3 linked regions of the Oryctolagus cuniculus genome follow. The protein of the gene in region 2 interacts with the protein of the main gene of each other region in a pairwise test. Links are inferred from orthologs where the notes say so. Each region holds a gene or a part of one and is shown on either strand. Other genes may lie near its edges. The genes, in order: INSR, SHC1 and SHCBP1.

Evidence for each region.
Region 1: the proteins of SHC1 (region 2) and INSR interact in a two-hybrid assay, tested with the Homo sapiens proteins (2 studies listed by BioGRID and IntAct). The link is inferred for Oryctolagus cuniculus from reciprocal best matches to the Homo sapiens genes SHC1 and INSR.
Region 3: the proteins of SHC1 (region 2) and SHCBP1 interact in a two-hybrid assay, tested with the Homo sapiens proteins (2 studies listed by BioGRID, with this or other methods). The link is inferred for Oryctolagus cuniculus from reciprocal best matches to the Homo sapiens genes SHC1 and SHCBP1.

What each region holds. Positions count from the first base shown.
Region 1 is NW_027208201.1:3,562,622-3,566,275, reverse strand, and holds part of INSR (insulin receptor), read left to right. Parts: intron 1-1,695; coding exon 1,696-2,047; 3' UTR 2,048-3,654. UniProt on the Homo sapiens protein: Receptor tyrosine kinase which mediates the pleiotropic actions of insulin.
Region 2 is NC_091438.1:43,545,608-43,548,063, forward strand, and holds the end of SHC1 (SHC-transforming protein 1), read left to right. Parts: intron 1-246; coding exon 247-375; 3' UTR 376-1,885; downstream 1,886-2,456. UniProt on the Homo sapiens protein: Signaling adapter that couples activated growth factor receptors to signaling pathways. Participates in a signaling cascade initiated by activated KIT and KITLG/SCF.
Region 3 is NC_091449.1:30,368,842-30,372,495, reverse strand, and holds part of SHCBP1 (SHC SH2 domain-binding protein 1), read left to right. Parts: intron 1-422; coding exon 423-656; intron 657-747; coding exon 748-916; intron 917-1,223; coding exon 1,224-1,344; intron 1,345-3,654. UniProt on the Homo sapiens protein: May play a role in signaling pathways governing cellular proliferation, cell growth and differentiation. May be a component of a novel signaling pathway downstream of Shc. Acts as a positive regulator of FGF signaling in neural progenitor cells.

The sequences.
Region 1 (3,654 bases), on a different chromosome or scaffold from region 2:
TGGCCCAAGTCGTTGGTCCCCTGCACCCACGTGGGAGACCAGAAGAAGCTCCTGGATCCTGGCTTTGGATCGGCTCAGCTCCAGCCATTGTGGTCATCTGGGGAGTGAACCAGCAGGTGGAAGATCGATCTCTCTCTCTCTCTCTCTCTTTGCCTCTCCTTCTCTCTGTAACTCTTTCAAATAAATAAAATAAATCTTTAAAAAAATTAAGTGGGAATGGGTATATTCAGTTGAAAAGACCAGAGGTTAAAGCTGAAGGAAAATTGCGAGATGTGTATATTTTGGTTTTTTTCCTGACTTTTCTACAATGAACACTTAATTGATATATAATTTTTATATATTGATAATATCTATTTTTATATAAAGACCTTTATCCATGCTTATTAAGAAAATCCATTTGAATACTGCAGCTCCCAAATAAGACATCAACTGAGGAAACTTCATGGGAAGAAATCTGATATGGAAAAAGTGAGAAGCAGAGTCATTTAGAAACTTGGAGAAAAATATTTTTAAACATTTCCCCGTGCATTTCCTCTCCTAGCCATGCAAGGCAGCAGCCTTGATCAGGGGAATTAAGGCCAGGAGTTTGCCCCTGTTTTTTCTGGAAGGGATCGTATGGTGAGTGGTGTCAGCTCGGTGGGCCATGGGGTTTTCTGTCAGAGCTCTTCGGCTCTGCGGATGTAGCTGGAAGGCAACCGCAGACATTATGTAAGAGAATGGCTATGACTGTGTGCCAATAAAACTTTATTCAAAAACACCCTGGCTCTGAGGTGGGGGTGGATTTGTTCTGGGGACTGAGCTGGCTGACTCTTGTAGAAGAAGTTAGAGTTTGGAAAGAAAGAGGGAAAATGGCAAACACAAGTCCTCAGCCCCTTTCTCAGAGTGCTGTTGGCTGAGGAAATGGGCAGCCATGAGGATGTGAGGCTGGGGTCCTGGCTGCTGACAGACGCCTGACTGAGGCGCCTCCCGCCACCCTCCAGAGACGGAGGGCTGGGCCAGCAGGACGGACACGGAACTGCCTCTCTGGGTTCCGTAGGCATTGCTGCTCCCATGAGCTTCAGCTCCCCCGCCTGGAGAGGTCTTTCCCTGGAACAGCCGGGGGTCACAGGCGGCCTTTCCAAGCAGCCCTGGGTGGGACTGGGCCCTCAGGAAATGCCCCAGATTGGGGAGGGGCGGGGAAATCAGGAGTGTGTGAAATGACGAAGCCTGCACAGCACTGCCTGGGGCAGCCCGTGGGCCGCGGACCCTTCAGAAAGCTCATAGAAGGAGCTGGTGTTGCTGTGCAGTGCGTTGTGCTGCGGCTTGCAATATGGACCTCCCATGTCGGTGTGCCAGTTCAAGTCCCAGCTGCTCCCCTTCTGATGCATCCTGTGCACCCCGGGGGGCAGCAGTGATGGCCCAAGGATGTGGGCCCCTGCCAGCCACGTACCTGGATGGAGCTCCTGGCTCCTGGCTTCAGCCCTGGCTCTTGTGGCCATTTGCAGAGTGAACTAGCAGATGGAAGATCTCTCCCTCTCTCTCTCTCTCTTTCTGTGTGTGTGTGTGTGTGTGTGTGTGTGTGTGTGTTTCAATGAACTAAATCTTCCAAAGCATCTTGCAGCACGCTTGGCCTGGGCTGCAGAGGCGAGAGGACGGGGGAGGGGCTGCCTGGCTGGGCCCCCAGACTCACGGTGGCCATGTCCCTGTGTTCCGCAGCACCGACCTGATGCGCATGTGCTGGCAGTTCAACCCCAAGATGCGGCCCACTTTCCTGGAGATCGTCAGCCTGCTGAAGGACGACCTCCACCCCAGCTTTCCGGAAGTTTCCTTCTTCCACAGCGAGGAGAACAAGGCTCCCGAGAGCGAGGACCTGGAGATGGAATTCGAGGACATGGAGAGCGTGCCACTGGACCGGTCCGCGCACTGTCAGAGAGAGGAGGCAGGGGGCCGGGAAGGGGTGTCCTCGCTGGGCGTCAAGCGCTATGAAGACCACATCCCCTACACCCACATGAACGGGGGCAAGAAAAACGGGCGGATTCTGAGCCTGCCTCGGGCGAATCCCTCCTAACGGCGCCTGCCCGGGCCCGGGGTTTCCATCCACACCTTCCTCTGGTTCCAAAGTCTCCGGAAAACTCAGGATCGCGGCGACTCGCCCTCGTGGCCCACCGGGCTCAGAAATCGGCCCTCGACTTCTCTGCTTGTCTTCGGACTTCACACACACACTTGTGCAATTGCCAATGTGACCGGGGCGTCCGTGAAAGATGCAGCCGTGAGCCTAGAGGGGCAGGGAGGGTTTTCTACAGCTGTCTCAAACCGGGATTTTTTTTTTTTTTTTTTTTTTTAAATCTCGTAGCACAATGGGAAGAAAGCACCTGTTTTTACAGTTTTTTTTTTTTTCCTTGCTGGTGTCTGAGCTACAGTATAAAATGTAATACTTGTTTGTGGAACAAAAGTTTGAAAGGAGAAAAGGAAAACCCACACCCCCTGTTGGCAGGGAGTTCCACGCTCGCCAGGGTGGGCGTGCGAAGGTTTTACTCATCCCACTGAAGGACGTGCTTCTTTGCCTTCTTCTCCACAAAGATCAGTTCCTCAAGTTGACCAATAGCTGCTGTTTTCATACTCTGCATGAACACCTGCCGTCCCCGGTGTGTGCACACTGTGTGTGTGTGTGTGTGCAGGTTAGAGACCGCTGGGGTGTGTGTGTGTGTGTGCGCACACGCACGTGCAGAGTATTCACGCGTGCAGAGCCGGCACTTGACACTTGCGCTGCTTCAAGTTGGCGTGTTCCGGCCCCACGCTCCCCTGCCTTATTTCCTGGCATACTGTGCCCCCGGCAGGTTCTTCTCATTTTACAAGTCTAGCCTCGGATGTCTCCTTTCCTTTCACTTGGATGAAAAAAAAATTTTTTTTTTCCCCCAGGAACTAAGGGAGGAGCATTTCTTTTAGAGTGATCATGGGTTCTTTCAAGACCAAACAAAGCTAGGATGGGGAAAAAAAAATAAAAGAACTGGGACGGCAGGAGAGTTTTGAGGATATATTTGTACCCTGTTTAATGGGAGAACACCTTTAGCATTAGCCATGTAAGTTATCGAGTCGGGGAGTGTGGTCATGAGTGGGCCTTCCTGCTTATAAGGAGGGGTGCCAGGCACAATTGGCCTCTTTGTTTGGTCTTAAAGCATCCATTCTTCTGGGAATTAAGCCACATTCGCTGCTAATCTTTGTGGACATCGTGAGGCCATGCTGAGTGGGTGCACAAGTGGGCTTTGTGGAAGGTGTGGTTTGGATACCACGGCCTGCCACAGGGCTCCTGCTCGGCTCAGCGGGAGGCTTCCAGGAGCGGAACCCAGCTCCGAGGACACCCGTGTTCTCCCTCGGGTTCTCTGTATGTACCTCATGCGGCTTTGCCTCGCCCGGGCCTGCACGGCCCCCGGGGACTGTGCAAACACAACACAATCAAAGCCCAAAGACGTCTGGAGGACAGCATAAGCAATGGCAAAGGAGATGTGGCCCGCCGGGGCACCTGAGGCACTTCTCAGGGGCTTCGTGATGTTGCAGGGCCCGGGAGAGAGGAGTCTGGAGGAGGAACCGTTCAAGACCTGCACACCAAGGACTTCTGGGTGGGCGGGACCCCACTGTCCTTCCCTTTGTGAAAGGAACCACAGCTGCTCAGAGGAA
Region 2 (2,456 bases):
TCATGCTTTCTGGACTGAGGTCCCCTTGCCTTTCTGTAGTTCCTTCACCTGCCCACTCTCACAGCTGTCTCCAGCTTCTCTTTCCAGGGAAGCCTCAACCAGCCATCACCCCCCACCCCCAGCCCCACCCCCGTCTTTTTCTCTTTGCTCAGCCTTCTCGACTGTTTCATTTTCTTCAAGACTTAAGGGCCGCCGAGGTCTTGGCTCCTCACCTGAATTGACCCCCCTTCCTTCTCACTTTCCCAGGTTCGGACAAAGGATCACCGCTTTGAGAGTGTCAGCCACCTCATCAGCTACCACATGGACAATCACTTGCCCATCATCTCTGCGGGCAGCGAACTGTGTCTCCAGCAACCTGTGGAGCGGAAACTGTGATCCGTCCCCGCGTCCCCGAGCTCTCACAGAAGACGCCCCTGCCTCCCCTTCCACCCTGTTCCCTGCTCTCAGGACTTCACTCAACGAGTGTTCTGTGGGCTTGGCCTTGGGTCAGAGCTGGGAGGAGGGTGGACACTGGGTTTTGCATTCAGCTGAGGGAGAGGGTTTGAGTCAGGAGCCTGGGGTAGAATCCTGCTTCTCCCCAAACCTCACCAAAGTATTAATGTACAGAGTGGCCCCCCCATACCTGTGCCAACCTGATGCCCCCTTCCCCAGGAAGGTGGGCACTCGAGATGGAAACGTCCCCTGGTGATAGGCCCAGTGGAGCAGTCACCCTTCTGGGGAAAGGGGAACAAATCACACCTCGGGTCTACCCCTGGGCTTCAGGGAGTCACAGACCACTCTCAGCCTTCCCCCCAGCGTTTAACTTTGTGCCTTTGACCATCTCCTAGGTCTGACGATATTTAATGCAAAGAAGTTTTCGGGCCCCTGAGTTAAGGACAGGGGTGCTGACGCCGTCTTGGCTCCCAGGACCCTGTCCTCCTTGCTCAGCAGCCTCTCCAGTTTGGGTTGGGAGAACAGAAGCAGTAGTGGCAGCTGTCCCCTCTCCCTGGGGAGGTGCAACCCTTAGAGATTGCCCCAGAGCCCCCCTCCCGGCCAGGGGGGAGATGGACCCCCTCCCTTGCTCAGTGCCTCCTGGCCGGGACCCCTCTCCCCAAGGGGTCTGTATATACATTTCATACGCCCCGCCCCTCCCATGTTGCATGCATGTTATACTCTACAGCCAAAGTGTAGCTCTTCCTCCTGTATCCCGGCTCTGCCTCTCCCTTCCCAGGGTGTGAACTGGAGCCTCCTGTACAGTTCACTCTCCCAGGAGGGTTCTGTGGAGGCGGGAACAAGGGCACTGAGACTCGAAAGCATTAGACAATCCCAAATACCATCTGTCGATTTGGAACCGCGCTCATTTTTACTTTGTATGCACATATTTTATGGCTGTAGGTTTACTTTCCTAATTTTGTTCTCCATGGCTTGTTCTTGAACACAAAATGATGATGATCAACTACATCCACACATCACCTCTTTGACTTTTCCAAGCCCTCTCACCACTATTGGCATTTTCCTCACCGGGCCTGCAAAGGAACTCGGACTGGCAGCATTATTATTATTTTTACAAAAGAGACCAGAGGCAGAAACGGATTTTGAGCCAGGACTAGAACTTGGACCTCTTACCGCAGGCTGGGAGGCAGGCGTTTGGCTGGCTGTGTCGATTTCACGAAGGGGGAACTTAAAGCCCACAGGTCCCCCAGTACCTTCTACACGCGGGGCCCTGTGCTAGGCCCACTGCAGCCACAACCACAGAAGAGGCCAGTCCTGCTCTTTAGGCCTGTGGGGAAGGGAAAGCTGACAATTTTAATCCTAGCCACCACCTCCTTTCGTGTGTTTGGATGTTTTCACGGGTCTCACTTATACCAAAGGGAAATAATCTTCATTAAAATCCGTATTTCTTCTACTTCGCCTTCTTAGCCACTCTTGCAAGCCCATTGTTCGCGCGGAGCCTCCGCGGCAGGAGGGGAGGCTCCAGGTCGCCGCTGGCCCCACCTGGCCTCACTTGGGGCCCGGCGCCGCCCGCTGGGCCCTGGGCGCCGGCCGACTTAGTGCCCGGTGGGCGTGGAGACCGATTGTCCCCGGGGGATGCGGCTGCGGAGGGGCCTGGTGCAGGCGGGGCGGGGCGGGGCAGGGTCCGAGGCCAGCCGGCGGCTGCCGGTGCCTCCTGGGCACGCGCCCCTCGGCCCGCAATGGTACGGTCCGGTCGCAGGGGCTGGCGGGCGGCGTCCCGCGGTGAGCTGGGGCCGGCCGCTCCCTAGAGGGCGACGGCTGTCTCCACTAGGGCCGCCCCGTGGTCCTCTCTCCCCTCTTCCTGCGTTTTGAGGCGCCGAGTCTCCCAGTCCTTGCTTCCCCTCCCCGCCGCGCTCGGTGGTGGCGGCCGAGCGGAGTTCCGGTTCCGGTCGCTGCTGCTGCCGCGGGCGGGCGGCGAGTCTGGAGCGGGCTCGCAGTTCGTGCTCCAGCTCGGCGCCTCCCCC
Region 3 (3,654 bases), on a different chromosome or scaffold from region 2:
AAACACTGTTATGAAACAATTTGAAATACTTCCCTCCCTATCCTGGCTCCAAAATTGTCCCCTGCCACCCACTTATGAAGATTTTGGATCTAATGTATGAGAAGAAAATAGTTTCTTATTAAACAGTGATTACAAATTGCGCAACTTGAACTTTCAGTGTTTCTAAAGCATAAATGCTTGAATCTATGAAAAAAAAAATAACTCTTCAAAAGGAGAATTAGTGACCTTAATGAAGTGGTGCTTCAAAACTTTGAATAGCTTCTACTTATAATAGAGTGCTGTTCAGAAAGACTTAACATGTATCTGAGTTTTATGCTATGAAACATTTTCTTGCTGGGTCTTTGAGGACTAAATGGGCTGTGTTAATGATAGGAAAATGTGCCTGAAAGGCAATGAATTTCAATTTGCTTTTAAACTTTCAGGCATTATGACATTCTTGAAGACCGAGTTCCTTCAGGACTCATTGTTGACTACCAAAATCTGTTGTCTCAATGTGAGGAGAGTTACAGGAAATTTTTGAATCTGAGAAGCAGTTTGTCAAATTGTAACTCTGATTCTGAGCAGGAAAATATCTCCATGGTGGAAGGGTTAAAATTGTATTCCGAGATCGAACAGTTGAAACAAAAGCTAAAACTTATTGAGAATCCTTTGTTGAGGTATGTGTGTCTTTGTTATTCTTAGCTAGTTAGCATCTTTTGTTAATATCTGTCTTACTGAGAACTGATAGGTCTGTGTGGTTTCTTTAAGATATGTGTTTGGTTATCAGAAGAATTCTAATATCCAAGCCAAGGGCCTCCGTCCAGGCGGTCAGAAGGTCACCCATGTGGTCTCTTCCACCATGATGACTGGTCTGTTGCGGTCCCTACTCAGGGACAGGCTCTGTGAGGACCCTTGTAAGGAAGAAACAGAAATTCAGGTAAAAAGAGTTTCTTGCTCACTAGGTAACTTTTTCTTTTGATTTACCCCATATTTTCATGAATGCTACCAAGTGTTCCTAGGAGCTTCCTAGTGCTGGTTTTCTTGAAATGGGGAGTAGGGGGAGTGCTGTATGTCATCAATAGTCACCTACCAAACAGGACTTGACTCAGTGCAACTATCTATCAGAGCAGATACTTAATTCTGCAATTTTGACTCCATTTTGAAAATGAGACATGAAGGCACTTGGAGTAATTCTCAGGTTGCATTTGGGGGCTATGTATTTGCAATATGTTGTTGTTTTCTAGTTCCATAGTGATCCGTTGTCTGCCATAAATGCCTGCTATGAAGGAGACTCTGTTATCGTGTGTCCTGGTCATTACGTGGTGCACGGCACATTCTCCATTGCTGACTCTGTTGAGTTAGAAGGTGAGTATGGAAGAGCTCACAACCAAAATCTCATGCATGATACCTATAAGGAGAAATCTTGGCTCTTGTTGAAGCTCTATGAATGATTTCAAGTGAACTGCCTGGAAACATTAAGAGTATTTAAAGCATGCAGGGAATTGACCAAGTGTTGAACAACTTGAGTTGTAGCTGTTTATGACAGTATGTATATTGGAAAGATGTTCACAGGCACACACAAAAAAAGACCATTATGAAGAATCAGACCTTCCAGATTATGGGTGGTTTATGGAATGGAAATTAATTTATATGATAAAAAACATTTCCAGCAATATTTTTTCAAAATTTTGTATTTTTCTGTTTGTTGCTTGCTGTTACAACTGTTGTGAATATCTTAGTGTCTGTTTTCTCTTTTGTTATATTTGTTTTTTTTTAATTTATTTTTATGAGGGATGTATTTAAATTAAAATTGGTATGAAAAATTGTTTTAATTCTTTAAAAACTTGCTTAATGTCACAAATGCTACACTTTGTGTCTTGACCAAAGTATACTTTTGAGGATATGAGTATTGAAAAATTCTATTGAAATAACTTTTTAGCAGTTATTCATTTAGAGGGATGCCTAAATGTAGGTTACCTTATAGTTGTTTATCTTGGTCCTGTGTATTTCCATAATGTGTCAAATTTAGATGCACCTGTTCAACTATTTGCCCAAGCAGCTTTAAGTTAGCAATAAAAGTTGTAATGCAAAAAATTGTATATCATTTTGGGACTTGTGCAGCTGTTCACAAACTGCATAAGCTATGTTCTTTATCTTTATCTTGTCAGAACTTCTTAATGGGAGCAAGGCTGGGAGTTTAATTTCCTGCTGTTCACTAGTACCTCGTCTCACCCTCTTTTGTTTTATGTGTGTAATTTTTGCTCTTTCTCTTCTCCCATATTTGATTTATAATAGATATATGTGTATAAATAACACATCTGGGGGATAAATCACTGCAATAAAAACACTTTATTTTTTGGCATAGTGAGAATAACAATGATCTTGTAGATTGTGTGGTAGATAAGAATTCTTCCTAGATTGGTGAAGAAATTATAATGTAATTGCCAGGGTGTCATAAATAACCACATAGAATTCTGATAGTTAAGTATAAAAATGACTATAAATTTACTAACAGAGGGCATTTCTGAGAACTGAGGAATCAAATAGTGTCTCTAGTGTGAATATATGGAGAACATGTTCAAGAGTAAGATTAAAGCTTATCTGATACTGATCTATAGCTAACACATAACATATATTGAGTACCCACAGTTTACAGGGTTTTAACAGTACTTACTGTAGGTCATTTGTGTTTAGAAAATCCATTTACTTTGATGATGGTTTTGTGTTTTAAACTACTAAGAATCTGTAATATGTTTATATAAGAAGAACTTTTCCTCAGAATGCAGTTATTTAAAATTTAAAAAATTTTTCCGATGATAAAATACAATGATAAAATAAAATCTGCAAAGTACAAACAGACATGTACAAAAAATTGGAAGCAAAGCCATTTGTCTTACTCATAATCTAATCATACACAGTCTACCCCTGGTAACATTTGGTTTATGAAGTCCTGAATTCTCTGGTGCTTCCAAGTGCTTGCCTATACTCGCCACATGGCAATAAATGGCTTTGCCTGTTTAATGCAGTTACTTCATTCATTTGCTCAAGCAGACTCATCTTGAGACAATGAGAGTTATTTCTTACAGCTTTATCTCTGTGGTTCTGTTTTAGGAGGAAAGTTAGGCAAGTTCCCTAGTTTTCAGATATTCTAATTTTTTGTGAGCTCTGAGAATCTCACCTTGCATTATTAGTTTGATTAGGATTAATAGAGATCCATTGTTATTGGTTGGTTAACAAGATAGGTTGTTTTTTGCAATAGCTGAGACACTTTGAAGTTAGTCTTATTTTATATCAATCTGTTTAAGAGATAGTAAAATTAGATAATCTTGAAAAATGCTTAGGTTTATTCAAATGTAATTCATGTTTAAGTCATAGACTTTTTGAGTCAGAAAAAAATTCAGAAGGGCTGAATGCTGTCAAGCCTTTTGACCCAGGTGTGAGTACTTTGGATTATTTATGTATTTTTTAACAGCAGTTTTGTAAGTGAATTCAGTGCTGAGCTGGTCTGAGGTGGTTGATAAGATAGTTTTCTTGATATAAGAACCAGTTGGGGAGTTATTATTATTATTTTTGTTAGAGATTTATTTTATTTATATGAAAGGCAGAGTCACAGAGAAGGAGACACAGAAAGAGAAACAGACCTTCTATCCTCTGGTTCACTCCATCCAGGTCTCC